Notamacropus eugenii: one gene and its partners. The protein of the gene in region 2 interacts with the protein of the main gene of each other region in a pairwise test. Links are inferred from orthologs where the notes say so. Each region holds a gene or a part of one and is shown on either strand. Other genes may lie near its edges.

Region 1 (8,013 bases), on a different chromosome or scaffold from region 2:
CCAGCCTGGGCCTTCCACCCTCCACCAGAGCACCCCCTCATCTGCCTCAATAGGTTTTCACCTAGCTAGAGAAGGAGGATGAATCAGAAAGAGGGTAATGGCCTGCTAGGCCAAGCTTATAGCCAGAGATCCTGCTGGGATCTCTCCTCCCAGCCTTTGGAGGGCACTCAGCACACACCCTTAACTTGACAGAGGGGGTGAAGTAAGGCCAGCAAGTGGTAGTGGCGGGGAGACCCCAAGCAAGGTAACAAGGGCAGAGCTGGCAGAAGAAGCCAGACACCCTCACCCCCACCCCAAGTGTCCTGGTTCGTGGATGCTCACTTTGGGGAAAGGATCTGATCTTTAAAACAAAAGCCTAGAACAGAGATCCAAGTCTTTAAAAAGAAAAAAATCGAAGGCATGAAAATACTTCCTTCCCTCCCACACATATTTGAGCTCTCCGGTGCCACCAATTTAGAGGGATGTTATGCATATGATGTATCACAGAACTTTCAGAAAGTCTAATAAAGAGAAAAGGATAGAGACCTTGATGTTCTTTTTGGGGGGCCCCTCTGGCGCCTGGGAGGAGAAGAGAGAGAAAGGCCTACTTCCAGCTTTAGCCTACCCCCAAATCTACAACTGCCAAAAGTTCTGACTGGGTGGCATTTTGCATTTCCAATTATAATCGCGTAAACGTGTTGCCATAGCTACCGCAAAATGCTGCCATAACTTTTGTTGCCTCGTAATTGCCGCGGTGACTATTTGCACACATGCAGCTGAGTTTTCTTCATTCCATCCCACCCCCCCACACACACCCCCATTAAGTTTGAGGCTCAGAAACCACAACAGCGGCTTTGAATCTAAAGCCCCTAAAATAAGGCAGGGAATTATCAGAAACAATTAAAACTCCAGGCAACCGCCTGGGCCCGATCCTATTACAAAAGGGGGTGGGGGAGGCTAGGCTGACAGGCAGGGCTGGCTGGCAGTCTGGTCGGTTTGTTTGTTTACTTCTGCCCAGCCTGTTTTCTTTAAAGGCACTAGGCTTTCAGATGCTTTCGGGGGACTTGTGGTAGGACCAGAAAGGCCATCGGAGGGGCAAGCAGAGGAGATTGAGCCTCCAGCCCAGCCATCACCACCACCGGTAACGGTGATGCTGACAGAGACACACTCCCTACCTAGAACCAGCAGGCATTTTTTTCATTAGGCAATTAGGCTGGTCTCTGTAGTCATGCAATTAAGATTTAGTTAAGAAAGTCATTAGTTTAAAATAACTTAAGTTTAATTTCTACAAAGCTTTATTTGAAAATTGTGTCACAGCAGGTCAATTTCCAGCCACCCAATAAAAGGAACCTTCCTAATCAGAGAGAGAAGTTATTAGAAATTGTTGATGGGCCTTCCTTCCGAGACAGGCCCTTCTGGGGCACACAGAAGGTCTCCAGCTATTCCAGTGGCCAATCAGTCTGCGTACAGAGGAAATAAAAGATAAGTTGCCTCTCATTTCATGTTGTGTTTTTGCAATGCCAGAGGAGTTCTGATAATATAACCCAGCAACATCCCTAGGCTGAGAAAACCATTCCGAATGAAAGCCACCCAGGCCTGCTAGGCAGCCCAACCCTCCTTCCTGGCTGGGAGGGATCTGAGCTGCTTCAAGCCCCAGCCCTCAGTTTCCCGGGCAAGGAGAGGTCCAGCTGCATGATCTCCAGGCCCCCTACAGCGGATCCCGGCCCTGGCACAGGGATGGATTCCGCTGCAGCGACTTCAGCCAGCGGTCGCTCCTTTTTTCCATTCTGACAAAATGAAGCCTCAGAACTGCAGTTTCTTACTGTGGGCTTAGCTCCCCTCCCCATTGCCCCCCACACACACCCGAGACGCATCCAAGCCCGTGGGGTCCCCGCTGCTCAGCCCTCCCCTGGAGGATGGGTCAGTCCTGCTCCAGCCAGGCGCTCACTCCTCTGCAGTCTGGGGCTGGGCGCGAGTGGCGAGGCCTCCCCATTCGCAAGCTCCTTGCTCAGCGCCCCCCCCACGCCCCCCCCACCCCACGCCCAACACACACACACACACACACACACACACACACACACACACACGCCAAACCAAACCGGTTCGGGGAGCCCACGCCAGGCAGCCAGGCACCTATCTCTGTCCTCAATCTGCCCAGGGCTTCAGGCTGGGACTCAGCAGCCCCGCAGCCCCCAGACTCCAGACGTTACGAGAGGGGTGGGCTGGCGCTGGACTGGGGGGGTCCCCAAATCCCACACCAGCGCTGGGGTCACCGATCCCCATCGGGGAGGGGGTTCCCCAGGAGATCGGCCGTTCTGCTCGAAGCGCGGCGGGGGGGCTGGGTGGGGGTCTGGGGCCGCCTCCCCCTTCTCCCCCCCCCAGCAGGATGCTCTCCAACCTGCTGGCGCAGCAGCGGCGCCCTGGAACGAGCCGGGCCGGGCGGGGAGGCAGGGGCTGGGGGAGCTGGCCGAGCCCCGCTGGAAGCCCGGGGGGAGACGCAGCTGGGGGGCGGAGATGACAGGCACGGTGCTGGGGGAGGGGGCAGGGGGATGACAAGTGGGGACCCGCGCCTGGGGGAGGGGGGCAGAGAACCGGGGGCTGGGGGAGGGGGAGGTCTGTGTCCCGGGCCGGGCTCCGTCAGTCCGTCTGCCTGTCTGTCTGTCTGTCTGTCTCGAGGGAGGGACGGCAGCGCGGGGCCCGGGTCGGCGTGGGCACCGGGCGGAGGCGGACAATGGCCCGGGCGGCTGCCCTGCACTTACCGGGGCGGGCTCCGGGGCGGCGGCCGCGGCTCGGGCATCGCCTCCCTCTGGGGCCGCATCTCCCCGGGCGGGCCGGGCCCGGGGCGGCGCTCGGAGCGGCGGCGGCGGCGGCGGCTCCGGGCTCGGAGCGGGCCGGGCCGGGCTGCGGAGGCGGCAGCGGTGGCGGGGCTGGGGCTCTCGGGCACTGGCTCGCTCCCCACCACGGCGGCGACGGCGGCCCCACAACCTCCCTCCTCATTCACAAAAAATTGACCCACGTTGAACCAGGAGGCTCAGGCCCCCCCCACCACGCCGCTCGTCCATAGGCCGCCCGCGCTGTCCATCAGTGGCCACGGCTCCGCCCCCGCCGCCCGCAGCCCGCCACCTATTGGTGTACCTGGGCTTGCGTCACCACCCCCTCGCCGCCCTCCCTCCTCCCGGACTCCTAAGGAAGCGCTCGTCAATTACGGTTCGGCCCCGCCCCTCCAAGGGCACCTCTCCTCCCTCCCATTGGTCGGCTCGAGGAAGGGGGGCACCACCCAGGTCGCTCCCGCCCCTCTCCCGAAAGCCGAAGGACCCGACGCGAAAACGGAGCGCCGGTTAACCCCGCCCCGGAGAGGCACGTTCGGGAGCCGATTGGCTACGGCGGCTGCCCGTCAATAGCGCTGCGCGCCGGCCCCGCCTCTTAGAGCCGACCCGCGGAGCCAGGGTGAGGGGGCGCGCGCGCGCAGGAAAAGCGGGACAGGGCACGTCGGACTGGCCTAGAGACTGGACCCACACCCGGAGCGGGCGCAGGAGGGCGGGGCGAAGGGGCCCAACGGACCAGGAGCTCGAGCTCGGGGAACCGTTAAACCGGCCGCGGCCGCCATCTTGGGGCAGAGCCTGCGGGTCACGTGGCTCGGCCATGCGCGCGGCCCCCCCCCCCCCCCTTGCGTTTGCACGGGGCGGGGAGGGAGGGTGAGTGGGTAAGGGGGAAGTCGGGCGGGCTAGTGGACGGGCGCTGCCCAGTGCGCAAGCGCGGCCCGGCCCTGGGACGCAGGAGCGCCCCCTTCTGGGGTCTCGCCCAGCCTCTCCTCCTCGCTCAGCTGCTCCTGCCCCGGCCCAGAGAGGGTGCTGGACTTGCCCGAGGTCACACAGCGGCGCCAGGTCCGAGAATCCTAGAAGTCTCGGGGTCGGACTGGGCACGCCCCTGCGTGACCCTGTGCGTGACCCTGCGCCTGGGGGATTTTCGAGCCCCCCTAGGCCGGCGCCCCGATTTACACGGAAGGAAACCGAGGCTCCCCCCAGCTGCAGAGGCTTTGAAGGACCTCCGATAACGTCCAGGTGGGGCATGGCAGGCCCCCGGAGGAGGAAAGGGACTTATCCAAGGTCACACAGTGCAGCCCATCAAAAGCACCGCTCAGGCTCCAAAATTTATTAAGCACCTACTGTGTGCTCAGTGCAGATGCAAAGAGAGACCAAGGCCAGCCCTGCCCCCAGGATCCCCCCCTCCAATAGGCAGAAGCTTCAGTCACCTGTATGCAAATTAGATACCCACGGGGAGGGTTAGGAAGGGTTTCCAAGAAAAGGTGAGGCTTGAAGGGAGGGCACTCCAGGCAGAGGTCTCAGCCTGAGGAAAGGCTTGGAGGCTGGAGATGTATGGCCTGGAAAGAGGAACTGAGATCTTGTGGGCTGAAGCAGAGGAACCAAGGTCTTTGACTCCACAACCAGAGATGCCTGGGGAAATTCGGCCAAAAAGCAACCTGCAACTTGAACTGGATTAAGAGTTGCAGCCTTGGCCGCTGGGGAGGCAGTTGTCCTCTTGCCCTCCGACCATCCAGCAGGACAGGGATGAGGCCTGTCCGGCCCAGCTCCTGAAAGCAGAATTGAGACCAACTGAGGCCTTGGGCCCATGAGATCTGGGGAAACTCGATGCCTGAGAGGGCTTTGGTGCCATGGGCCCCCTCCCTGGAGACCTGGAATATTAGACTGGTGACCATTTGTCCTGAAGATTGGGGGGAGGGGGTCTTGAAGGCCTCTTCCAAATTCTGCTGAATTCTGAGCTTCTGAGGAATGCTGGAGGAAGCCAGAAGCCTGGACTACATAGCTCCTCTGTGCCATACACGGCAAAGCCCCTTGGATACCCAGATGAAAAGGATAAGCCCTGCCTGCAGGGAGTTTCCACCAGTTTCTTCATAATGGATTCTCCAGTCAGATACTCTCTATGACAACAACAGTTTAAATTGGTGTAGTTTGGTCAAATGCCTATCTTACTGATACCCTGCCTGCACCTGCTGTTGTCTCCATTCTACATATTTGGAAACTGAGGCACCAAGCCAGGAAGTGAATTATCCAGGGTCACACAGAAAATTAGCGTTCACTTCAAATCCAGCATTCTTTCCAGAGTGAGATGAGGACAGAGACACACTTTTGCCCTGGGTTCATGAATATTTTAATTGCCTTCTGTGACATTCTGGTAGTCTCCTCCAGGTCAGGCTTGAGTCCACACTCCCAGCCCAGCTGAGAGTGCCACTGTGGATTGTAATCTCTGAATCTTTTCTGGGAAGCAGAGTGGATGGGTACTCCGAGAATTGTTCCTGGGCCCCTTTCTCTCAATACTCCCCTCTGTCTCTTGGTGACTTTTCAGCTCCCAAGGGTTCCGTGATCTGCTCAATACAGATAACTCCCAGGCTTCCATGTCTCCCAACATCAGTCCCTCTCCCAAGCTCCCGGGGACCTTCTAAGGCATCTCACATTCAAGGGGCAACACTTGAGACTTCAGATATAAAACATGGAGTTAGAATGAATGGATAAGAAGTGAGGGGATCACCAGGGATAGTGATGACAATGAAATTCCACCCTGCCAGCCTGCCACTTGAGAGCATCACTGTGCTTCAGACAGCCAAGGTCTCCATCCCTCCACTCTAGAGGTTTGGGCTGCTCCTGAGGATCAGTCACCCTCCCTTCCTCCATTGCTTAAGGAAAGGTCTCTGCTGCTGCTAGATACCGCCTCTGCACTCTGAAATGAATCCTCATAGGTAGGCTTGTAGTCATCAACAAGCATTGTTTAAGTACCCACAGTTGTTAGGCACTGTACTGTAAATTCTGGGATTACAAAGAAAGGCCCCCAAAACAGTCCCTGTCCTCAAGGAGCTCACCATCTAATAGGGCTTTGTTTGAGTCTGGCTTTACTATTCTTGCTCAGTCATTAAATTAGGGTTTGATGGGACCCTCCAGATCTAACAAGTCCCTCCTCCAAGCCCTGAAGGAATAATTCCTGGTTGACAGACCAAGAAGACATACACCTAGGCCAAGCCATGACTTGGCTTCTTTGTGGAGTCCTTCGCCCTCAGAAGGCCTTCCTGAGACTGGGGCACATCAACCCTCTGTGGCCAAGCAAAATCACATGAATTCCTCCTCCATGACCCAACCTTTCAGGTGCTCAGAAGCCCACAGCATACCCCACTGAGCTCAGTGTATCAGGAACTCAGATTTGTGTCATCCACAAACCTGCTCTATGCAGGATGATTCACAGAATTGTCGAGAAGGCTAGGCCCATCCAAGGTTGGAGGCCCTTCAGAATTAACATGGCTTTTTTAATTAACAAGGCCTGAAGTCTACTTGTGTACAGTCAGCTTGTCCCACATTCGAGAGGCAGAGTGGTATTCTGTGTTAAGATCTTGGATTCAAATTGTGCACTTAAGGCTTCCTTGATGGTGACCCTGGGCAGGTGACCTCACTTCTCTGAACCTCAGTTTCCTAGGACTCAATGTCCTCCCAGGTGTTGCCCAGTCCTGGAGCTGTGAACTTATGGCGTCATCAGTTATTGAGAACGTTGAAATGAGGTGAAATATAGGGACTTTGCTTCTCAGCTTTGGGGGGCCTCTTGCTCCTCTCTGGATTGTCATGGTCAGCCTCTCTGTGTGTCCTCTCTGTGCTGGAAAGGCTGCCCTCCCTGAGTCCAGGCATTAGAGGAAGAGTAAGTCAGCCAGGGGCATCCTCTACTTTGAAGAGACTTGAATATTCAGAAACAAGACACAACCTAGGTCACAAATCTTCCTTTCTAGGTCTTCAGCAGTAAAATTGAGTCAGCATAAGGGTAGGGGAACACTCTAGACAGAATCTGTCCAATCCAACCCAGACCTTAACAGAAAACCATTCTCCTACACGCCCAACAAGTGGCATCCAGCCTCAACTAGAAAGTTCCCAGCGACAGGAGGCCTCCCTTCAGACACTGACTCCCCCCAGCTCCCACCAGATTTCCTTGTTGGGAAGGGTCTTTACCTCTCCTGCTGAGCTAGCTCTGGCCTCTGCTATGCAAAAGAGTGGGCCTAGGCTGTCAAGGTCAGAGTCCCAACCTTGAGAGTGGAGCCCCAGATTCCCGATTTACTCCCTGTGTGATGTAGGCCCTTAATCAAGTTCTCCTAAATTGGACCCTGCCAGCTTTCAGTCAGTGATCCTGCAGTGGTGTCCTAAAATCTCGTCCACACTCTAGCTTTTTAAATACTTTCCCAGGGCCTCTCTTCTTCAGGCTAGATAAGGAGTAGCATTGACATAGCCCTTTACAAATATTAGCCCCAGCTTTCTCCCAAATTCCAGCACTTTCCCTCTGGCAGGTACTTCCTAATAATCCTGTTTTGTGGGCATTTGTTGCCTGTGGCCTCCTCCATTCCACTGTGAACTCCTGGTGGGCAGGGACTGTCCAGTGACTATATCCCCAGGGCTTACCAAGTGGTGGGTACTTGGTAAGTGCTTAATCATTGTTTATTGACAAGCTGACAAATGTCTTAGAGTCCCACACTTTCTCTTGCCCCACCCCCTTCCCCTAAGCCTTCCTAGCTGAGATGTCTCATAGGTACCAGGTGGCCTACTCCCAGTCTCCTCATTACACAGTGAGTCCCTGGGGGGCTGGAACTGTGCTTGCCTTTTCTTATGTCACCAGTGCTGAGCTCAGTGCCTGGCACACAGTAGGTGCTTAATAAATGTTGGCTATTGTGATGGTGCTGATGGTCATTGCTATTAACCGGCCATTGTACCAGAAAAGAGAGAGCATAGAAAAAGACTCCCACAGAGAAGCAGGATCTGGTGAGTTCTCCAGGGAATGAGATGCTGCCAGCTGGGAGCAGGAAGTCTCTCACCGTTGTGGACCTCTGTCTTGGCTCTTCTTGCCCGACTCTTTTCTGATTTTAAATGAAGGAGGGTTGGAAAAAGAAAGACCTGGAGGCCTTTGAAAGGTTGGAAAAAGGAGCCAACCCTGAGGAAAGGCCCAGCCCAGCAGTGGATTAATCAGGCCACCAATACAGCACATCCTTGGCTC
Region 2 (7,482 bases):
CCCTCAATTGATGCCTATAGAATTGGGGCTCAGGGTATTCTCATCTTTCTCCCTGACCTTTCCTGGAGTTTGCTGACCAGTTTCATTTGGGTGGGGCCTCTCACAATGACAGGCTTTTTTTTTTTGGTGGTGGGGGTGCTTCAAAGCATGATGCTGAGAAGAAAGGAAAGCTTGCCCATGAATACCTGGCTCCTTCTAGTTCTGACTGCTGGAACTTGGGACAAGTAAAGAGAGAATCAGAGAGCTGGAAAGAAATGTAGAATTATTGATTTCAAGCCCTCACCCAGGTCAAGAATCAATTCCCAGGACATCTGCTTGACCACTGGCCTAGGGAAATTCAGACTTTGGGTAGAAGCCTTGGAAGCCATCTGGGCTCCAGAGAAGCAAATGTGGGATTGCTCCCTAGGTGATAATATGTTCCTTAAGCCCTGAATGGGGATGGCTTCATAGAGAGCAGTGCAGCAGAATGCTGGTTGAATTGTAGCCCTCTGGATAAGACTGTGCCTCTTCCACTCTGGTGTCTTCCTTCCAACCTTGAAGGACTAAGCTGTGGGGAGAGGGGAGCCTTGCTTGAAAGACAGACCACAATTTTGGGGGCAGGAGCAGGTAACATTGTTGGGATGAAGTGAGGACCAGTGTCTCAGATGAAAAAGCTCATCAGGAAATCTTTTGGGGTGGTGTGGCTTCCTTCTAGCAGAGTCAGCCCCATGAGATAGACCCTAGTTAAGTCGTGTGTGTTCAGGAAGAAACCTTGAAGTAGTTGCTTCCCTTCCCCAAAGCCTTAGGGTGACTACTGGGCCTTAGTTTGAGATGAGGAAGGTTCTAGGAAAAGCTCGGGGGAAATAATGGAGTCAAAGCTAGGAGCTGCAGGGGGAGGGAGAGAAGAAAGGAGTTGAAAAGTAGGAAGGGAGAAAGAAAAGAAAGCATTTTAGGGCAAGAAAACTCACCATCCATGGTTTGACCCCAGCGCTCCAGGGATCCCCAACATTGGCCTTTCTTCCTCTCACAGCCCTCAGATCCCTCACAGGACTTTGCAGGGGTCACTGGAAATCCTATGGAAAGAGAAGTATGAGAGGCACAGGAAAGGCTGGGGAGTATACCCATCCTAGGCAAGTCATGGGTGCTTGAATCCTAATGTCAGTCCAAGCATCTCCCCATTCCTAGCTCTGATGTCCCCTATCCCCCAGCTATGGCCCCTCTGCTGGTTCCAATTGCTGTACTCTCCCACCCCACTCCCAGCTTTGCTGCTGACCCTGGCCCTGCCATCATCCCCATTCTGGCCCAGGTTTCCACTTCTGCTGCTGCTTTCTACTCTACCCCACCCCACTGCCATCCCTCCACCTGACTCTGCCTCTGAATTTCCCCCCTCCCATCCTAATACAAATAAAGTCCTCATCTCTGCTGCTGTTGCTGGCTGCCCCACTCCCAGCTCTGCTGCTGATTCCTGACTCTGATTCCTCCTACCAACACAGGTCCCCCACTTCTACTGCTTCCATCGGTTCTAACTCCCTCCTCTTACTGTAGGTCTCCACTTCTGCCTGCCCTACTCCCCCTCTGCTGCTGACCCTGACTGTGAATCCCCTCTACAACAGATCTCTGCTTCTCTCTGCCCACTCTCCACCCCTAGCTCTGCTTCTGACTCTGACTCTCTGGACAGCCCCTGCCCCAACACAGGCCCCTACATCTGCTTCTATCTGCCCCACCCCCAATTCTGCAACTGACCCTGGCTCTGTGAATCTCTTCTCCCCTCCCCCCCCTCCTGCCTAGCACAGGTCCCCATATCTTCTCTCTGTCCTTCCTCCACACCCAGCTCTGCTGCTGACCCTGACCCTGTGAATCACTCCCTTCCCCTTCCCCTGCTTACATTCCCACATCTACTGCTTCTTATCTCCCATATTTCCAGTTCTACTATTGACTTTGACTGGACAGTCAGAACTGACTAGGTCTGTTAAACCCAGCTCTGTCTCTGTCTCTCTCCATACATAAGCCAGAGAATGTATATTTAGGAAAGAGAGGAAGATGAGAGAGGGAGCAGAAGGTAGAGATGGAGGGAACGGGAGAGAGGAAGTGAAGAGAAAAAGCTTGGGGGTTAGGGAAGGGGCAATGGCAAAGGGGGTTCTGTTATCTGGAGTGGGAATAAAATGCCATCATCACCATACTACCTGATTTTCTACTCCTCCCCCCCCCCAATTATCCACTCTTCACTGTGCCCAGTGCCAGAGGGGATCTGAGAATCTGTGCGCACCCACAAGAGCCCCGGGGTCAGAGCCGAGCAGGGAGGGAGGGGAGGGCGGTGAAGCCGCTTCGCGGGGGCTGGGGGGACAAGGATGACCAGAGAGCCTCTCAAGGCAGGATGCAGCGGCGGGCTGGACGTGCGGGGAGAGCGGGGAGAGCGGGGAGAGGGATGGGAAAGATGGAGACCTCGGCCTGGGGAAGGAGGAGGGGAGGAGAAATGGAGAAGGGCAAGGAGAAGCCGGATGAGCAAAAGCCCTGACCTGAGCACTGGCTGGGCCGGCTCGTGGCTTCGGGTCCATCCCCAGCTTCCGTGTCCATGGCCGCAGCCGCTGCCGGCCCTGCTCGGGACCGAGCCGCAGAGCCTGGGGAGCGGGAGGAGCGGAGGAGGGGCTGCTGGGAAGGCGTGCCCCAGGCGGGGACCGAGCCCAGCCCCCCGGGCTCCCCTCCTGTCTCCTCTCCGGCCCACCTGACGCAACCGCAGGCGGGAGTGGGGTGGGGAGGGGGGAGCTGGAGCCTCTCTCTTCTCAGGGTCCCGGAGCCCCACCCGGCCGGTCACTGCGCGCCGCCCGCCTGGCGTGCTCCTGGGAAGGGGCTCGCACACATTCCTGGCTCAGGTGGGAGCACCTTGACCCTTGGCCCAAAGAAGCAAGAACAGTACAGGCTCACTGGGGGGCAAACCGAGAGCTTGGATGGACGGCTAGGTTCAGGAAGTGGCTGCTCCCGTGGGAGCCCTGCTGGGAGAGGGCTCAACAGCCTCCCGGCACCTCCCCCCAAGTCGCTGCGAAGTGGGGAGGGGGTCTGCGCAGAGGAACCCCGGGGCCTGGCCGATATCCCTGGCTTTGCTGCCGAGGTAAAGCGGAGCATCCCCCTGGGATGATGGAATAATCTGCCCTGTATTATCTTAAGCAGAACACCCTCCTCCCAAGGCCGAAGTCCCTGGACTGGCCAGCTCCCTGCCCCGGGTTCAGGGCTTGTCCTGGCTCTGGGATGCTTCCAGGCCCACAGACCAAGTGGGGAACCTAAGGTGACGTGGAGGCTGGAAAGAGACGCATGGAAGGGACAGGGGGGATGAAGCCCGGTATTTCTGGTCCTCTCTCTTCCCTGCCTCCCATCAATTCTATAGTCAGTCGGGGTCATTAGGCTTTATTATATCCATTGACTACGCAGCCCTTTGTTAAATGGGATCTGAAATAGTTTCCTTGTTTGTAAACCCTAAACTGCTACCTTGCTCTTTCTCTAATACAATTCCCTAATGAATTCCACAAGCTATAGTGAGATATCTTTCCTCATAACAGTCACTTTGTTAAGTGCTCGGAATACAAATCAAATGTAGCAGTCCCTGCCCTCAAGGACCTTATGATCTAAGGGAAGGAAACAATGTATTTGGAAGTAAATATGAAATATGGGGGTGCTAAATGGCACAGTGGATAGAGTGCTGGGCCTGGAGGAAGGAAGACTTGTCTTCCTGAGTTGAAATCTGGCCTCAAACACCAACTGTGTGACCCTGGGCAAGTCACTTAGCTCAGTTTGCCTCCGTTTCCCCATCTGTCAAATGAGCTGGAGAAACAACAAACTTCTCCAGTCTCTTTGCCAAGAAAAGTCTAGATGGGGTCAAGAAAAGTTGGGCATGACAGAAATGACTAAACAGCAACAAATATGAACTATCTTCAAAGTAACTTCTGGAGGTAAGGACATAGGTCTAATTCTGCCAGGCAGTTTCATTAGCATTAGAACAGGCTTCAGAGGACACAGTGGAAGAAGAGGAAGAGTGCCCCAGGAACAATGTAGGGACAGTGTTGGTAGTGTGAGCTTTGGCCTCAGCAGACTTCAAGTCATAGTCTGAATGTATATTGGCATGTCAGTCTAGTAAAGGTAGTGGTGTTTTGATTATTCCAGAGAAAGAGATTGCAAGCTGTTGGGAGCTGGCGGATGTGCACTCTTCGATAGGGCAGATGGCCAGGTCTTAATCTTTTCTAATGGCCAAAGCAGGGATTGGAGTTTAGGCTAGTTATAGGGCCCTCAGCCAGATCAGCTTTTTGTAGATATGGTAGATATATAATTGTCACTGTATATTATAAGAATTGTGTACACATAGTGTTGGGTTGTTTTTTGTTTGTTTTGGCTTGGTTTCATTAATAGGGATCTCTGTCTACCAATGTCAACCAATGTGCCCTGTAGCCTTAGAGAGGTGCCTGGGACCCAGAGATTACCTGATTTGCTTGGGATCCCACAGTCAGGATGTGTCAGAGGCAGGTCGTGAGTCCATATGGTCCCAGTTTTCTGGTCAGTCCTCTCTCCAGTCTCCTCTACTGCTTTTTCTACTGTACCACACATATGCATGTATACATGTGCCATACTTGTGCTACTGAATGTTTTCACATATATTATTTCATTCTCCAAACAACCCTGTCGAGTAGGCAGGGTAGACCTTATGTTGCTCATTCTTCAGACAATGAGGCCCAAATGGGTCAAGTGGGGTCACCCAGCTAGTTAAATGGCAGACTCCAGTGGAAAGCCAGACCTTCCAACTTCAAGCCCAGGATATTCTCCACTAATGCCACCACTGCTTCTCAATTTACTGAGTATTAATGATACTCCAGGTGCTGATTGCCTATGGGACTCTACTGCTAGGTTCACCTATGAAAAGAGTTGGTAACACAACAGAAAATGGTGGCAGTACAGAAATAGACCCATGATCCTAACGACATACACAAAGTCTTTTGTGTCTATACTTACAGAGACACATAGGAAAAGGAATATCCTGTGGGCTCTTCCAGCTTCCCAGATACATGAAGCAAACACTTACATGTGTACATGGAATCCAGAACCATTGCTAGGGGCAGCCATCTGGAGTTAGACTTCAGGTGGATAATCCAGAGAGTGTCCCCCTAAAGACTTCCTTTGCTTTGATGACCTAATTCCATCAGACTTTCTTCTTCTGCTTGCCCCATCCCAGGAGCTCTTTGTCCCTCTTCAGCAGCTCAGAAACCTGAGAGCATTCCCTGGGTCATTTCTTTCTGCTGGGGCTACACTTCACAGGTCCTTCTCCCCTGCTTCCTCTCCTCTTACCTACCCTCAGCCTACTGCTCAAGGTTCAGAAATATGTTATGACTCTGATGCAGTCTTTTCACATGACTTCATGTACAAATCAACAGTCCTAGTCCTTCAGTTTTATACATTTCATACACTTTGACACACAATCTCTGCCAAATTCACAAGGTTACTGTTTGCTGCTAAGGTTAAAGAGGCTTTGTGAAAGGACTGGATGGGCCAATCAGTGCTGAAAGACACAGGCCTTTTTATTGGGACTTCTTAAGAGAAGGCTATGGAGCTCCACTTTTGGTGCTCAAGGAAACCTGAGGGGTGGAGGGCAGAGGCAACAAGGGAAGGACACTGGGGCAGCCTACAACCTCCTCCCTAGCCAGTGCCAGGATTGATACCTTCAAACTAGGGAAGCCCTCCCCCCTTCCCCCCCAGACATCAGCTGGGAAAGACTCCAAAAACAGGCGTGGGAAGGGCTAGGAAATGATACAACCAAAGTACTGCAAGGGAGTCTTCACCGTGGCCGCACAAGGGAAGCCAGGGTGGGTTTGTAAGAGGCTGTTCTTAGAATTTGGTCCAATGATCCATCAAACTCTCCTTTGTACTCTTGCCTCCATCTTCATGTCGCTCAGGGAACTCCCCAGTTGGGTAGTACGGAAATTTTATAAGGAGGGTTCTATGGAGGTGAGTCTCATTAGTCTCCCTCCCTGAGATCACAGGCAGGAAGGTGCCAATCAACCAGGGTCACAGAAGAAGGGCAGGGCAGAGGAAGGAGATGCTGTGGGGGAAAGGGAAAGGAACAGGCATTAAGCACCTATTATGTACCAGGTCCTGTGTTAAGCACTTTACAAGTATCCCATTTGATCCTTACAACAACCTTGGGAGGTGGTTGCTACTATTATCTCCACTTTACAGTTTAGAAAACTAAGGCAGGCAGAAGTTAAATGACTTGCCCAGGGTCACACAACTAGTAAGTCTGAGGCCAGATTTGAGTTCAGGTCTTCTTGACACCAGGTCTAGTACCACCTAGCTGCCTCTATCGCTAGGATATAGATAGCTTGTTGGAGCAGGAAATACTAGGCCTGCCTTTAAAAAGAGAGAGATTTTCCAGACTCTCTCTCTCTGTCTCTCTTTCTCTCTGTCTCTCTTTCTCTCTGTCTCTGTCTCTCTCTCTCTCTCTCTCTCTCTCTCTCTCACACACACACACACACACACACACACACACACACAACCTTATTCCAACCCCTAAATCTCTACTGGATTAATTTCAAACATATAAACATCATACTTTGTTTCTAGAGAAATCTATCTCAGAGAGAGAGAGAGAGAGAGAGAGAGAGAGAGAGAGAGTCACATAATTGGACTCAGTAGTCCTAACTTCCAGCTTGTCAACCTGGCTATACTCTCTACCTTTGTCCAGAGACTGGGATGTATCAGGTTAATTCTGTGTCTTCCACAACCCAGGGGTCCAGACTGGCCTTAGTTTGACTCTTAAGTTTATCTTGAGTTTATTCAGTATTCTGTGCTGAGAGTCGAGGTCATCTCATTTGCCTTGAGTTTTTTGAATTCCTAGGGATCCTAGACCCAGATAACCTTGGTGATGGGGTTTGAGTCTGGTCTGTTATAGAATGGCAAAACCAATCAGATTGGCCTCAAGGGACTCCACTGGCATGAGCCAAGATTCAGGAATAACTACTTTCTAGCTCACTGCATGTGATACATTTTTGAGCGGCTGAGTGGATTACTAAAGCTAGTACTCAAATCCAGTTCTCTTAAAGACAGAGACTTATAGATCTGGGTCATCTAGTCCAGCCTTCCTCTACCCCCTTCTTTTACAAGTCAGGAAACTAAGGCTGGGAATGGCTGAGTAATTTGTTCAGTCCCACAGCTATTTTGGAGGCAAAGATGGGACTGGACCCCAACTCTTCCAAAGCCCAGTGTAATGCCCTATCCACCTGTGGGATGCCTCCCTGTGGGATGCCCACTGGGGATGACCTAAACCTGTCATCTCAGTAATCAGCTCAGAGAAGAGTTGGTTCTAATAAACTCCATCCTCGTGTTCAGGAGCTCATCCTCCTTCCTAATCCCATCTGAGCAGCTCATCCTTCCTATAGATTCATGAAAATAATTCTCCTGACTGTCTTGGCCTCTCACCCCTAACCCTCAGTTGTTCCCTGCAGCCTTTTGAGTTTTATTCCAACAACT
Region 3 (7,280 bases), on a different chromosome or scaffold from region 2:
GGGCCCAAGGTCTCCCAGTGTATCCTGGGTCATCTCCAGTCATCCTGATGAATATCTGGTCACTGGATTCAGATGGCTCTGGAGGAGAAGTGAGGCTGGTGACCTGCACAGCCCTCCCTCACTCAAAACAAAGTCAAGTGCAAGTCATGTCATCATTTCTCTGAGGGCATGGTCTTCTTTGGCAATGAAGGACGAACACAAAACCTAAGCCAAACTGGGACCAATTGAAAATCTTAGCTTGAAAAGACCAAATGCATCCTGGGCCGTGTCCAGTTGTCCTGATCTGTATCTGGCTACTGCACCCACATGGCTCCAGAGGAGAAAGTGGGGCTGATCACTTTGCACAGCCCTCCCTCACTTTAACTCAATTCACTTGCTTGTCATGGCCTCACTTCTCTAATGTCAGGGTCCTTCTGGAGAACAAAGAACAAACAGCAGTAGTTGTGTCCAATTCTTTGTAACCCCATTTGGTGTTTTTTTGGCAAAGATACTGGAGTGGTTGCTGTTTTGTTCTCCAGTTCATTTTACAGATGAGGAAACTGAGGCAGACAGGGTTAAATGATTTGCACAGGGTTATGCAACTAGTAAGTGTCTGAGGCCTAGCACTCCAAATACTATGCCACCTAGCTGCCCCACTGCACCACCTGGCAGGCATTTAAATACATAGTTGTTAAATAATACAGAAAATTATGTTTTGATGATCTGTACTTTTAAATTCTGGACCAATGGTATGATCTGTGGTTACATTAAAGAAGACACTCTGATTGTTTTGAAAACCATTTTAACTTCAATTTAATGAGCAGGAGAAGGAGTATGTAGTAGCAAGGTACTACACAGAATCAGAAAAACTGGGTATCAACAACTAGCCCAGTGACCCTGGGCAAGTCACTTACCTTTTCTGGGTCTCAGTAATCTCACTTGTGATATAAATGGTTTGTAGTAGATTCATTTCCCAAGTACTCCATTCCAGTAGTAAAACAATCAGTTTTACTATCAATGTAGTTTTCTAAAATGGAATTTTTCATTTTGAAATACTCTGCCTGTGGAAATTAATAGTATAACATAAAAAAAATTACTAAGGATATTGAGAAACTATGGGCCACTAAAAAGTACAAACTTTACAAATTTATTAATTCAACAGACTTTATATTAAAGGCTAGGTATAAAAGGAAACAAAAAGTGTAAGAACACACACACATTCAAATACAGCCTCAGATTACCTGTAACCTTGTGCAAGTCACTTAATCTTGTTTGCCTCAGTTTCCTCATCTGTAAAATGAGCTGGAGAAGAAAATGGCAAACCACTCCAGCGTCTTTGCCAGGAAAACCCCAAATGGAGTCATGAAGAGTTGGCCACAATTCATAGGTAGTAAGGGTCTCCAGGTTTCCTTCTGTATGACATTTTGTTAACTACATCAAGCCTGGGCAGGCTTCACAGCCTCTTAAGTGATATTTATTATCAAGAGTTTGGCCTACTGATCTACAAGGGGTGGGGGTGGGGGGAACAAGTAGATGAAGAATGCCTATTGTGCAGCAGGCTATAATTCAGCTACATAGATAAATCATCAGTACCTATATCTTGAACAGCCACCTTGAATAGCAGTGATTTAATTGTAGAACTTCCTGGGAAGAGGAGAGTAGGCTGTAGTGATTTTGGAAAATCAGACAATATTTTTGAGTTTCTCTCTGTTTTTACCCTAACATTTTCTTACAGCAGAGTGTAGCATTCCGCCGTATTTAAGGCATCCTCAAACAAACACACAAACACACACACACACACACACACACACACACACACACACACAGGATTGTCAAGCCTTTGATGATGGAGGTCCTTTCATATCTACAATCCCAGAGTAATCATTTTTTACATACTTATTTGAATACTTTCAAAATCTATTTCAAGTGGGCACACTGCAGCAATGCAGATCACAAAATGGCTTTGCTCAGAGATGGTTCAATGGACGGCTGAAGCCAAAAATAAACAAACTTAATTTTCTTTCCAATCATTTGGTGAAGGTATTCTAAACTTAGTTACCTAGGTTGGACCCTGGAGAACAGACCGAAAGGGTCCATACCTATACTCACGGTGTTTTCAGCTTAGCAAAATCTTCTGTGGCCTGCACTTTGCAGGTATAACATTTGAGGACTAAGGATTACCTCTCCAGAAACAATGAAGCAGTACAGTGGGAATTCAATGGGTGTCTTGTACAATGCTGTTCAGTAGTTTTTCAGGCCCCATTTGGTGTTTTCTTGGCAAAGATATTGTTGTGGTTTGCCATTTTCTTCTCTAGTTCATCTCACAGATGAGGAAACTGAGGCAAACAGGGTTAAGTGACTTACCCAGGGTCACACAGCTACTAAGGGTCTGAGGCTAGATTTGGACTCAGGAAGATGAGTCTTCCTGACTCCAAGTCCAACACTCTATAGGCTACCTATTGTACATAATTGGTGCTTATAAATCTTCGTTAAATTGAAGGCTTTCAGGATATGTAGGCTGAGGAAAGATTAGACTCTCACCAGTCTTAACAATTATACATTCCCAAATGTCTAGCCACCCTGTTCTAAAAAGTTGAAGTTTCAATTTGTCATGAACTAGCAAGAAATGGAGACAGGTCAATTTCACAGAATTTATGAAATGAAACTAAGCTCTTTTAGAGCAGGAACTATTTTTTGCCTTTACTTGGATCCCCAATGCTTAGCACAGTGCCTGGCACAGAGTAGGTTATTAATACATGCTACTTCACTGAAATATTGAACTACTTCCAGTTTAATTAAGCTTTTTCTAAAAACAGGAATGTTACACTTGAATTTCTATGTCTGGTCTCCCAAGACATGTCTTGTTAGGATCTGTGTATAGGCCCTGTCTGCAGTCTTAGGCTCAATCCCAAGCCTGAGAGCCTGAAACAAGTTATCCAATCCAACTCTCATTCTACAGAAAACAATGACCAGTGGTCTGGCAAAGTTGGGGAGAAGAAAAGGGAAGTTCCCACTATTCCTTATACGTGACGGTACTGTTTAAATGATACTGCATCGTGGAATACATTATAAACTATTTAGAAGGAAGTAAAGTTTCATTACTTTGGACTTTACAAATCTGCGATCATCTGGTCTGTGCTCAGAGCTCGTAGAGACTTCACACCCCATGAAGGCTTACTTTTTCAAACTTTCTCCATTTGAAAAAATCCACCAAGCAAAAAATAACATCAACACGACAGCAATTTGGTAACATCTTTAGAAGCTAAATACAGTGGTTACGTGAATTAAACATAACACTTATTCCCGAAAATTGGATGAGTATTATTCATTCCTTAAGCAAAGTGGGTTTTTAAAAATACAGTGGTCCATTAATTAGTCCAACTTCCCTTGCGATTATAAAGCAGCAAAATCTGCACTTTAATAACAGACCATGGGCTTAGACTGACCAGGACACTTAGCATTCACACACAAAACACTTTCCCCACAAAAAGACAGCGAAGCGCGCGTACAAGTGTCCCTTATTTTACAAACGTCTAGTCCACGCGTCTGCTAAGGGTCACGACTTTTGAGGCATATTTAAGCAGTATTTAAGAAACATTAGCAGAACGGTGCCGCCAATGCGCCCCAGAGAACTCACACTTCCGGTCCTCTCAACTTCTCGAAGCGCACGTGCAGAGCTCCGGGCTGCGAAGTCCCAGCGGCCCCCGCGGCACAGGGAAGGACGGGGGCTCAGCCGGAAAGCGGAGCCTGGCGGAGGAGCCGGGGGGAGCGGCGGGCTCCCAGACCTCACCTGTCTCCACCCTCGGCTTCCCGGGCCTACTGCCCGCTTCCTCCCTCCCCGAGTCGGCCCTTTCCCCTTCAGTCAGTCTCACAAACTCCTTGGAGAAGATTCCCCCACTCGCCCGCGTCCTCCCCTCCTTCCATCACGTCACCGTTTTTATCAGCCCAGGAGTCCCGAGGAAGCAGCCCCGCCTTCACGCTCAGGATCCAAGTGGACCATGGCTCCCAGGGACACTACTCTGTCCCTACCTCCCGGGCACCGTAGTTCCAAGAGATTCGTATGCCCTCCTAGTCTCCGCCCACCGCATGCGCAGAGACCCCTCCCTCGCGCGGTGGTCGCTTAGCAACTTCCCCGAGTCCTCTCGCTAGGGGCGGAGTCTGGAAGGGAGTGGAGAAGCGGTGAGGGGAGCGGGGAGTGGAGCCAATCGGAGACGAGTCCTGGCGCAGAACGGCACGCCTCTTCCAACTGTCGCGAACGCGCATGTGGCTTTACGGCAGAGGAGGGGGGGTGGGGGAGCGGGGAGAAGGCGGAGAGAAGAAACCAACCAACCAACCAAGCCACCCCCACCCCCACCCACCTCAGACCTGGTTTACGGCTCCGGGCTCAGTCCCCTGTGAGGCAGCTGATTGGTTGGTGGGGGGTTGGTCCCTTCCCTGTGACCCCAAAGTGCTGAAGGGGGGCGGGGGTGGCCCTGTGCAAAGTGCACCCAGAAAGCCCCCCGCCTTGAGCCCCCCGGCCGGCCCCCTCCAGCCCGCGGCCCCCTCACACCCTGCAGGAGCTGATTTCTTCCTGCCCAGAGACCTTCCCGGTCCCCCCACAACTGCGGCGCTCCTGCCCCCGACATCGGCAGCCGCTGCCCCGGGCACCCTAACTGGCTCTCCCCCCCACCCCCTGCCCTGAGGTCCCCCCAGATCAGGCTGCCTCCCCCGCTCCGCGGTCCGGGCGCTCGCCGGCCGAGGCGAGGCGCTGAGGAGAGCCGGGCGCCCGAGCGGTCCGGCCCTGAGGCGATCTCTTTTCATGGAGAAGTTGGTGGCCGCGGTGGCGGCGGGGAGGAGGAGCAGAAGCCGCTGAGGCTGGAGAGGTAGGAAAGTCAGTTAGGTCCCGGGGGCGGCGGCGGGGAGCCGGGTCACCTGCGCCCGCTCCCCCCGGCTCGGACCCGGCTGACTGCTGCCCGCCGGGGCTCTGCCTGCTTGGCTTTTCCAGGTTCCCCGGAGACCCGAAAACGGGAGGACTGCCGAACCGGCGCCGAAAGCGGGCTCCGCTGCCAGTGCCCAGGTGAGCCTCCTGCCCTCCCCCGCCCCCTCCCGCCGGAGCCGGGGCTTTATTTAGGGGAGCGCCCCGGTCCGCGCTGCCCGGCCGGCCAGGCAGAAGCCCCGCCTGCTTCCTAACCTCGCACTCCTAACTTCCTGGCCCCGGGGCTGGGGGCTGGGTGCCATCCTCGCCTAGACTCCCCCTGCCCGGCTTGGCCGCTGGGAGACCTTCGGGGACGTTTTTATTTGTTTGCTCCTCCCGCAGGGACTTCACAAGTCACTGGCTTTGCTGGTCAGTTTTTCAGGAAACTGTGATTTATAGGCATTTTCTCCTTGACTTTCCTCATCTTTCCAGTGGTCAGCCTATGAAATTTGGAGGACGCTGATAAGCCGTTTGAACGTGGATGTAGATAATCTGAGTCCTAGAAAATGTATCGATTAATCTTTGTACTTTGAATTATTTGCAGAATTTAATTTGTCATCACAGTATGTAGAGAAGTCACGATTTTCACTTTTTTTTGATAACTTCAAATTTGAGGTGTAGATAATGGACTTTTACAAACCAAGCCAAACACAATGCATTTCAGGATTTCACCAAGAATGGTTAACATCTCACAATATCTTGACAACAGGGGATTATTGTGTTTGTTTGTTTGTTTTAAAGAGAGGGGGGTTCACGTTGAGGTTGGTTTTATCTTAGGCCGCGGTCTGTAGGACTTTATTTTGGCAGTCTTCACGGTTGGCCTGCTTTTTAAATGTAAAAATCTTGCAGAAAATGTTCGGCTACTATTTTAAAAGCTGGTAAAGATGTTAAAAAATCCTCCATTTGGGGGTTATGTTATTGAAAGTGATTGAGAGGTAAATTCAGGCATTTATACAGCCCATACACTGGGAGACAGAAACAGGAAAATTGGCTAGGGAAAATTTTATGTAGGAGTTGGCCAAACGAACAATATGTTTCTGACATACAATGACATTTAAGGATGTAAAATGACTTCTAATTACTTCTTTCATAATCTTTTTAATATTTCAAATTATTTGGGATGTTTCCTTTTCAGTTACAGTTACAAAGCATCACTTAATTGCAAAGGGAGTTGGTAGGAAGTCTTTACTTCACCTCACTACCCTGTGGCCTTGTGCCTTCCTTGTGGAAAACAAAAATTGTGTCATTAATGGACCTTTCCACTGTCATTCTGAGATAATTCCCCTTCCGATGTGTTGCATTTATAACTACTGTGAACCTTAATGGGAATTGACTATCAGAGGGAGAATGTACTGTGCTGAATACATTTTACAGTTACTATGTACTAGTTAAAGTAGATAATATTGGTGAAAGTTTAATGTCCCTTTTGTCTACTCACAGGCTTTTGCTTGTATTTTTGTGGAGGGAGGTGGAAAGAGACATAAATATGTATAGAATCAAAGACAGAGACCTTTATTTGCTACATTTCAATAAAACTAGGCAGTACAGTCAAGTTGGAGGATAAGTTTCCACATTTAAATATAAAAATTTCAACTGCGGATAGTACATATGTTAGGATTTTTTCCCCTAAACTCTTTAGTTTTTGATATCAAAATGAAGTTCTCTGTTATGCAAGTTTTCTCACTTAAGCATGTTTCAAGCTTAAATTTAATAGAACATATTTCCTTCTGAAGGTTCTTTTTTATATTCCTTTGCTAAAGTACTACTAAAGCCTTATTAGAGTATGCAAACAATCCTGGTTTCTGAAAGGGGGTGATGTGAGTGAAGTAAAGCTCTGGAAGGAGCTATCAAGGTGGAAGGACATGTAATTCAAAGACAGTCCTAGTTAAATTTGGAGAGGTTCGTCACCAGAAGGTTGACAACCAGGTGATAAACTCATTTGCCCACAGCAGCATATGAAGACCACATATGTTGTGGAAGGGTTGTGATCTGTATTGGGAGGAATACCCACACCAGTGAAATTGGGTCATTTGACATAATGAAGATTTTGTTTTAAAATGATAGTCTGTAACTAAAGTGCAAATTTAAGGTAAGGAAGGTTTGCCTCCATACCCCACAACTTGGCCAGTCCATCATCGTTTTTGTTGTTTGTGTTATACCTTTTTAATTTTATTTCATTGATTTTTAAAATTTGTTTTATGTCTTTAATGAGTTGTTTTGCTGATATAAGTTCTATCCATCTTTTGTGTCTCTGAGAGTGTAATTGAGAATTGGAGTTGTGTCAGACACTATTTTAACCAGTTTGCTGAAATGTTCTTTATTGTTCATGTCTTAATCCTGCTAGGAT
Region 4 (7,539 bases), on a different chromosome or scaffold from region 2:
AGGACTGGAGTTCAAATCTGGCCTCAGACAGTTGACACTTACTAGCTGTGTGACCCTAGGCAAGTCACTTAACCCCAACTGTCTTGGGGGGAGTAGGGTGAAGGCTTAGACTTGATGACCTTGAAGATCTTGCCAGTTCCATGATCCTATGATTACTATAAAACAGATGCCAGATGCCTAATATAGAAATTATGGGAGAATCATAACCTACAAGATAAAATGCTTTCCAGTGTGCCCCTGTTTAAACCACTATTAGCCCTATGTTGCATTTGAATTTACAGAAACAAAGTCTGCACATTTATATGATTATTTGGGAGTAGGGAAAGGTTTAAGCCACATTGTTTTTTTTAAAGCAACCATGTGAAACTTTTAAAAATGAGAGGGAAAAATGTGTGTGAATGTGTGTGTATATATGTGTGTGTGTACTTACATATATACATATACATGTGTATAAATACATATATCTATATCTAGATAGATAGATGATAGTTAGATAGATAGTCACTTCCCTTGTAGTGATGACTGCTGATCAATTTTAAGCATTTACAATATTTTTGACAGTCACTTCTAAAATATTTTTTCAGGATCTCAAGAGATCTAAATTTCTGTATCTATGACATATTCATAATCACAGTTACAAATACGAATCACTGAGGGTCCTAAAACCAAAAACTGCCTATCTACCTCATACTAGCTTCTGCTTTCCATAAAGGAAAAGACAGCAGAAAATACAAGGAAATCTTGGAAGATGCCCAGCCATGGATCAAAGTTAAGTAGATGAAACTAGGTTACAGATTACAGGATTTTAGACTACTTTCCCCCCCAGGGAAGTAATGCTGAATTAATGCCTAAATGGTTAAAGAGCAGGCTCCCTATATAACTGGAAGAATTTCTAGCACATATGAGAATATTTCCTAACTGCAAAAAGCAGTAAGCAGAGCTACATGACTTGTGTTTTCCCCTTTCTAAAAAAGAAATTCTTTGCATTGATTAAAGAAAGATGGCAATGCCAATTCAGAAACCACATGCTGACGTCTTTCCCCACCACGTAAAAAACTGACTCTGTATTTTATAGGTACAAATAGCTCCAATTGGTTCAACTTCCTCTGACCTCTAATATTCTTTGCATGAAAACTCATGTAATGTGAATATAAACGCGTACAATTAGTTAATCTAAGGTTTCCTTTTTTTCTCCTTCACTGTTAAATATTTTGTACCAGCAATGTCAAAGAAGATATGCTTTGTACTTTTATTTTCTGTATTTTCCTCCATATTTTGCTCACCTTAAAATATATTTAAGTCTTGTTATTACTATTGGAATTTCTCAGAGTATCATGAAAACCATCATATGACAACTCCCCCCAAACTTAACATACCCAGCAGACAGGAACTTAAATTTAGAAATGTAAAAAATGTTGGATTTCGTATGGATCTGGGTTCTTTGGGAAGTCAAAACAATCTGTAAAGTGGCTGCAGCCTGTAAGGAACAATACACACACAGGAAGCTTAGTATCTATCCCACACACTTCCAGTATTCCAGCTGTCTTTTAAGAAGAAAAAAAAAGCCTCCCATTTACCAGAAGGTAATGAAAATAAACAACGATCCAAACAGAAAAACTCATTGCTCTACCAAAACACCTCCTAGGACAGGTTGAGAGTTAAGAACACGGGAGGTTACAGCTGAAGGGCTAAAAAGCTACAGGCACAGGATGAAAGAGGTCGGCCAGGCAGCTTTCCATAAGGCAGGCTCCCGCTTCTCCCTGTTGGCCAAATAAGGCGCAGGAGCTGGCTGGTTTCAGACGCCTTGACAGTCAGGAAGCTTGAACCCGAGGATCAGATCGAGCGATCACACCCTAAACCTGCCCAACCCAGCTTAGCTATGAGTTTGTTTTCTGAGCACTTATTTCTTCCCGGCCTCGTTCTACCCTTTTATTTTTTCCCACTTGTTGTCAAAGACAAAGTCTTAAAAAGAAATACCTAATACTTAAAAAAAAAAAGCATTTGTAGCTCAGACTAGTGCAAAAAGCATTTATTAAATGCTAGGCACTCTGTCTGGCCCTGGGAATAGGGAGAAAACTGAACGCCTCTGACCTCAAGGAGCTTCCTTACTGGCTTGTATTTTCAAAATTTATTAATGAGGATTTACTTTATTGCCGGTTCAGCTGGAACTGGCCACAAACAGGTTACACAACTGTAAATAATTCGCTTTTGCAAAAGAAAAGCAACTCTCGGAGACAGATTCATGTGCATGTGTATTTCAAAGGAAAGGAAATAAACAACCTCCTGCTCTCCCCACCCCCCACCCCCAAGAAGAGAAATACCCACTAAAATAATCAGCAAAAAGTGTAAATGAAGGCAGTGCCCAGGAGCCAATGGCTGCGGGCGGGCTGACAGGCTGACCGGCTGGCACAGCCGAGCGGGGGAGGCTTCTGGGGCTTTGCCCGGAGGCTCTTTCCGCTTCGGGAAGGCTAGGCTGGGCAGGGCTGGGCTGGGTAGGCGAAGGTGCCGCCGCCGCCGCCTCTCGCCCGCCTGCCCGCGCTCCCACTCCCTAGCGGGCTCCCACCGAGCCTCCCCAAACGGTAGCCGCCGGCCCCTCCCTCTCCGCCCCCGGGCCCCGGGCAGCGGCCACAGCCCTCCCTGCCGGTGATCGCGCCACCTCCCCGCGCTCCCTCCACAGCCAGCTCGGGCGCGATGCGCTCCGGAGGGCACAAGGCTCTCCGCTGGCGCCGGAGCCTGGCTGAGCACCTGAGGACCCCGCACCGCTGCGGGACTGAGACCGCTCGCGCCTCTGTCCTCCTCCACGCCTCCCCTTTCCCTTGCCTCCTCACTTCTAGGGTATTCACCGCTAGTCCTCCCGGGAGCCGGGCTCGGGCACTCACCCACAGGGCAGGAGCTGCGCTGTCTCAGGCGCGGGGCAGCGCTGACAAGTGACGGACTCCCAAGGCGGCTGAGCCAGGCTCCTAGCGGGCACTTCCGCCTCCACTTTCTCCCGCGGCTCCTCCCACGTCCCGGCCCAGGGGGGAAGTCCTCGGCCCTGCTGGCTCCCGGGGCCACTCCCCTCCAGGGATCGGGAAGTGTGTCTCCAGTATAGGGAAAATGGACAGGGAAAATAGCTGCGCTAGGAAAAAGCCTTCCAGGAGGGGAAAGGTGGCCAGGGGCATCTGAAGCGCAGCCTTCCTACCTCGGAAACCAGAGTGGCACATCGCAAAGATTCCCATTTCCTCCGCAGCTCTGTTTCTTTCTCTGTATGTCTTGTATTTATAAAGTAATCAAATTTTTACTAAAATGGAAATGCCGATGGCTAAGATTTCCCCAGCCATGCGAGTTCAGGGAATCCCCTCCTATATAGTACAGGAGATTCCAGTGTGCTCATAGAACTTTGGTACAATCAGTATCTTTTCAATGAAGGAAAAGGCCAGGAATCCCATACTTCAGATGAAGAAAGGGTGACAGTTCCCCTCTTCCCCCCACCTTCCCCCAGGAGTGAAGAAATCTGGGAGAATAACGATCGCTGGTGATTGTATCACACTGTATAGCTTGAAAAGGGCCTCGTATCATTTATGGAAAATACGTAACATTATATTACAAATACATATACTCCCTAGATATGAGAAGTAGTGAGTGGGTAGAGTTGATCAGGGAAGACCTGGTCAGCATCTAGTCCAGCCTTTGACCCTGGGCAAATCGCTTAGATTTTCAGACAATAACAGTCAATAAACCTTTATTAATCATTCACCATGTGCTAGGCACTGGGCGAAGCTCTGGAGAAGAAAAAGAGGCAGAAAAAAATAGTCCCAGTTCTCTAGGGGCTCAGCGGGGGAGAAAAGCAAACAAATATGTACTAACAAGTTATATAGGATAAGTGAGAACTAATTAGGGAGGGCGCTAGAATTGAGACGCGGGAAAAGACTTCCTGTAGAAGGTGGGAAGATGGGGTCTGAGTTGGGACTGAGGGGAAGCCAGAGCGACCGGTAGGCAGAGATGAAGAGGAAGGACATTTCAGGTATGGAGGACGGCCAGAGAAAATGCTAGAGATCTGGTTCTGGAACAGCAGTGTCAGTGGATGAAGAGATGAGAAAATGGTGGGAAAGGGTAAGGTGTAAGAGGACTGAAAGGAGGGCAGCCAGGCGGCTTGGTAGATAAAGTACTGGCCCCAGAGGGAGAAAAACACCTGAGTTCAAATCCAGTCTCAGATGCTTAATGGTTCAGAGATGTGTGACTCAAGGCAAGTCAACTTTGATTGTCTCACTAGAAAAAACAGAAGAAAACTGGAAAGGGGTTTTTTTTTTTTTTTTTGGGAGAAAGGGGAAAAAGGAATTAGTTATGAAGGTCTTTGAATGCCAGACAGGATTCTGTATTTGATCCTGGAGGTAAAAACGATCCACTGAAGTTTATTGAATAGAAGGGGTGACATCCTGGGACCTGTGCTTTGGGGAAATCACTTTAGTGGCTGAATAGAGGATTGATAGGAGTGGAGAAAGACAGGCAGACCCACTAGCAGGCTGTTGAAGAGTCCAGGCAGGAGGTAATCAGGGTCTGCACCAGAGTGGTGACAGTAAGAGGAGAGAAGAATATTTGAGAGATGAAATCCACTGGCCTTGGCAAAATATTGGATATGAAGGGGTGAGAGTGAGAAGTGGAGGATGACTCCTAGGCTTGGAGGTGTTTCTCAGGGCTGTAAATTCCATAAAAGATGCTAACCTGAAACAACAGAGGGAATTACCTTACCTTACTCATGAAATAACATGCCAGTCCCTCTTCTTATATCTACACATAGATATATGCTTTACTTTTCTCTTAACATACACATACACAAGACTGACATGCATTTTTGGAGGGAATGAGATCACAGATCCATCATGGTATGGAAAGAACTTTGCTGATCTTCAAAGGGGCAAAATATAAATTTCCTTTGTTGATTTACGTGTGGATAGCAATATAGTCTCCCCTAGTAGAGTATAAACTGCCTGAGAGCAAATATTGTTTCACTTTTGAGTCTGCTGAGCATCCCAGTGCTAGCAGTAGGTACTCAATAAAATCTTTTTTATTGGCTCTATCCTTGGAGTCTCAGGACAGCTCTGTGAGTTAGATACTACAAGCATTACTATTTCAGTTTTAGACATTAGAAGTCTGAGAATACACAGCTGGTAGAAATCAGAGGCAGGCTTGGTGGTCTCTCTTGGTGCTATGCTCAAGTCACTAATTCCTCCCTTTGTCTGAATTACTAACTTATTTCCCAGCTTCTATACGGATATTTATTTAGTGCTGCCCAATATCTAGCCAAAGAGCAGCATGTGTCTAAATGTGTGAATAAGTGTGGCTAATGCCTAAATAATTTTGCATTTGGATATTTTGATATGTTACAGAAGGACTTGGAGTCAGAAGACCTCAGCATCGCTTAAACTCCGAATTTCCTAACCTGTAAAATGGAAGTTGAAATACTTGTACTCTGTATGTCAGTGAGCTGTTGGGAGAAAAGCACTTTGCAGACCTTAAAGCCATGTGTAGATGTGAGGTTAAATTACATAGTCTTGAAGCAATTCATTCATTCATTCATTCATTCATTCATTCATTCATTCATTCAAGAAGCACTGAGCAGGTACTATGTGCCATATCCTTTGAGAGGGACTAGGGGTGCAAAGACAAAAATGAAACAGTTCTTGAATTCAAGGAGCTTATATTCAATTGAAGGGATTCAACATCCACATAGGTAAAGAAATATAAATATGTAAAAAATTATAAAATAGCATTTAGGAGGAAGGCAGAACAAAAGGGGATGGAGTCAAGATGGACCCTAGTTTAGGAACTGTCACTTAAGCTGAACCTTGAACCTTGAAGGAAGCTAGACATCTTAACAGATAGGGGTGAGGAGGCAGTGTGCAAACCCAGCCTGGGGACAGCCTGGGCAAATGCAGAATAGTCCAACTGAGCAGGAACCTAGAATAAGTGACGGAGAGTTTGGAGAATGAAAATGGAAGATGGATTAAAGCCAGATTGTGAATTATTTTAAAAGCCAGAGGAGTTTTATTTTATTCTTTAAGTAAGAGGGAGATACTGGTGCTTTTTGAGCAGGGGAGTCCCATGCTTGGAACTTGGCTTTGGGAATATGACTTTGGCATCGATGTGGAAGATGGATTAGAGATGGGAGAGAAGGGAGGTAGGAGGACCAATTAGGAAGTGATTGCAATAGTCCAAGTAAGAACTGATGGAAGACCTGAAAGAAGGTAGTGATTGTGATATGAACAATGTTGTATATGTGGAATTGACAGGATTCAACAACTGATTGGATATGCAGACTAGGAAAGAGTGATTTGGGGAGGATAATAGAGAGGCTGGGCTCCTGAGTGATTACAAGAGGAAGGAGACAGCATGGTATTGTGGACTAGGGCACTGGACTTGTAATCAGAAAGATCTGGATTCAGATCTTGACTCAGATAACATATCTGTTATTTGACTACACAAATATATCATATCATATTATATCATATATTATATCATGTCATACTATACTGTATTATATTATGGTATGTTATTAAATTATATTTTATATATATAATATTTTTAATATTATATATAGTTATAATTTTATATTACATATTTTATTACATTATATATTTATATTATATATAATATATTTATGTTATATATAACTATATATTAATATGTAATGTATATTAAATTATATATGATATATAAACATAATATATATTAAACTATGTTATATTAAATTACATTGTTACATTATATTTATTATGTTGTTATATTATATTACATATGTGCATACACACATATCTATATCTGTATCTATCTGTCTAACTATCCCATCTCCTTAACCTCCCTGTGTTTCAGTTTCCTCATCTATAAAATGAGGGTTTGGGCTACCTTTAAGGTCCCTTTCAGTTTTAAATCCATGTTACTACTATGGTACTGTTGACAGAAATAGAGAAGTTAGGAAGAAGGGGGAGGGGAAGGAGAAATGATCAGTTCTGCTTTGGATGTGCCTTTGGGACAGATACCCAACGAGAAATGCCCGATATGCATTTGGTGATGTAGGACTCTAAAGACTGGGGTTTATATTTGTCGATTTGTCGATTGGGAGTCAAGTGCATAGAGATGCTCACTGAATACATGGGAGCTAATGAGATCACTTAGAGAAAGACTGAATAGTGAAAGAAAAAAAAGAGAACCTAGGATGTGGTCTTGGGGAATACCAATAGTTAAAGAGCAGGAAGAAGAGGATTATTCTAGCAAAAGAAAGCCATCTTTCTGTTAAGTTAAGAAAATGTGAAAAGTGAGGAGCCCTAAAACAGAAAGAAGTTTCTTCCCAATAAAAGTGAGAATTCCAGAATATGAAGGCAAAAAGGTAGGCTGAAATTAATGGAGCTGTTCATGGGGTAGGGCTGAGGTGAAGAGGCACAGAAGTATAGAGAAAGAGAAGAGACAGCACAGTTTTTTGCCTCAGTGTTTGCTGATCCTGAAGCACAGGAATAGGAGTATTAGAATCTGGGAATGTGTCTACCATAGAAGGACCAGTTGCAA

Evidence for each region.
Region 1: the proteins of CCDC136 (region 2) and HDAC4 interact in binary tests that used the Homo sapiens proteins (3 or more experiments, as listed by UniProt). The two-hybrid records come from large-scale screens. The link is inferred for Notamacropus eugenii from reciprocal best matches to the Homo sapiens genes CCDC136 and HDAC4.
Region 3: the proteins of CCDC136 (region 2) and ASB7 interact in binary tests that used the Homo sapiens proteins (3 or more experiments, as listed by UniProt). The two-hybrid records come from large-scale screens. The link is inferred for Notamacropus eugenii from reciprocal best matches to the Homo sapiens genes CCDC136 and ASB7.
Region 4: the proteins of CCDC136 (region 2) and PDLIM5 interact in binary tests that used the Homo sapiens proteins (3 or more experiments, as listed by UniProt). The two-hybrid records come from large-scale screens. The link is inferred for Notamacropus eugenii from reciprocal best matches to the Homo sapiens genes CCDC136 and PDLIM5.

What each region holds. Positions count from the first base shown.
Region 1 is NC_092873.1:67,091,874-67,099,886, forward strand, and holds the start of HDAC4 (histone deacetylase 4), read right to left. Parts: upstream 3,014-8,013; 5' UTR 2,739-3,013; intron 1-2,738. UniProt on the Homo sapiens protein: Responsible for the deacetylation of lysine residues on the N-terminal part of the core histones (H2A, H2B, H3 and H4).
Region 2 is NC_092874.1:121,335,282-121,342,763, forward strand, and holds the start of CCDC136 (coiled-coil domain-containing protein 136), read right to left. Parts: upstream 3,014-7,482; 5' UTR 2,554-3,013; coding exon 2,496-2,553; intron 1,053-2,495; coding exon 948-1,052; intron 1-947. UniProt on the Homo sapiens protein: May play a role in acrosome formation in spermatogenesis and in fertilization.
Region 3 is NC_092872.1:154,030,232-154,037,511, reverse strand, and holds the start of ASB7 (ankyrin repeat and SOCS box protein 7), read left to right. Parts: upstream 1-4,272; 5' UTR 4,273-4,841; intron 4,842-4,963; 5' UTR 4,964-5,035; intron 5,036-5,275; exon of another isoform or gene 5,276-7,280. UniProt on the Homo sapiens protein: Probable substrate-recognition component of a SCF-like ECS (Elongin-Cullin-SOCS-box protein) E3 ubiquitin-protein ligase complex which mediates the ubiquitination and subsequent proteasomal degradation of target proteins.
Region 4 is NC_092878.1:131,766,178-131,773,716, reverse strand, and holds the start of PDLIM5 (PDZ and LIM domain protein 5), read right to left. Parts: upstream 3,002-7,539; 5' UTR 2,880-3,001; exon of another isoform or gene 2,829-2,879; intron 1,478-2,828; exon of another isoform or gene 1,377-1,477; intron 1-1,376. UniProt on the Homo sapiens protein: May play an important role in the heart development by scaffolding PKC to the Z-disk region. May play a role in the regulation of cardiomyocyte expansion. Isoforms lacking the LIM domains may negatively modulate the scaffolding activity of isoform 1.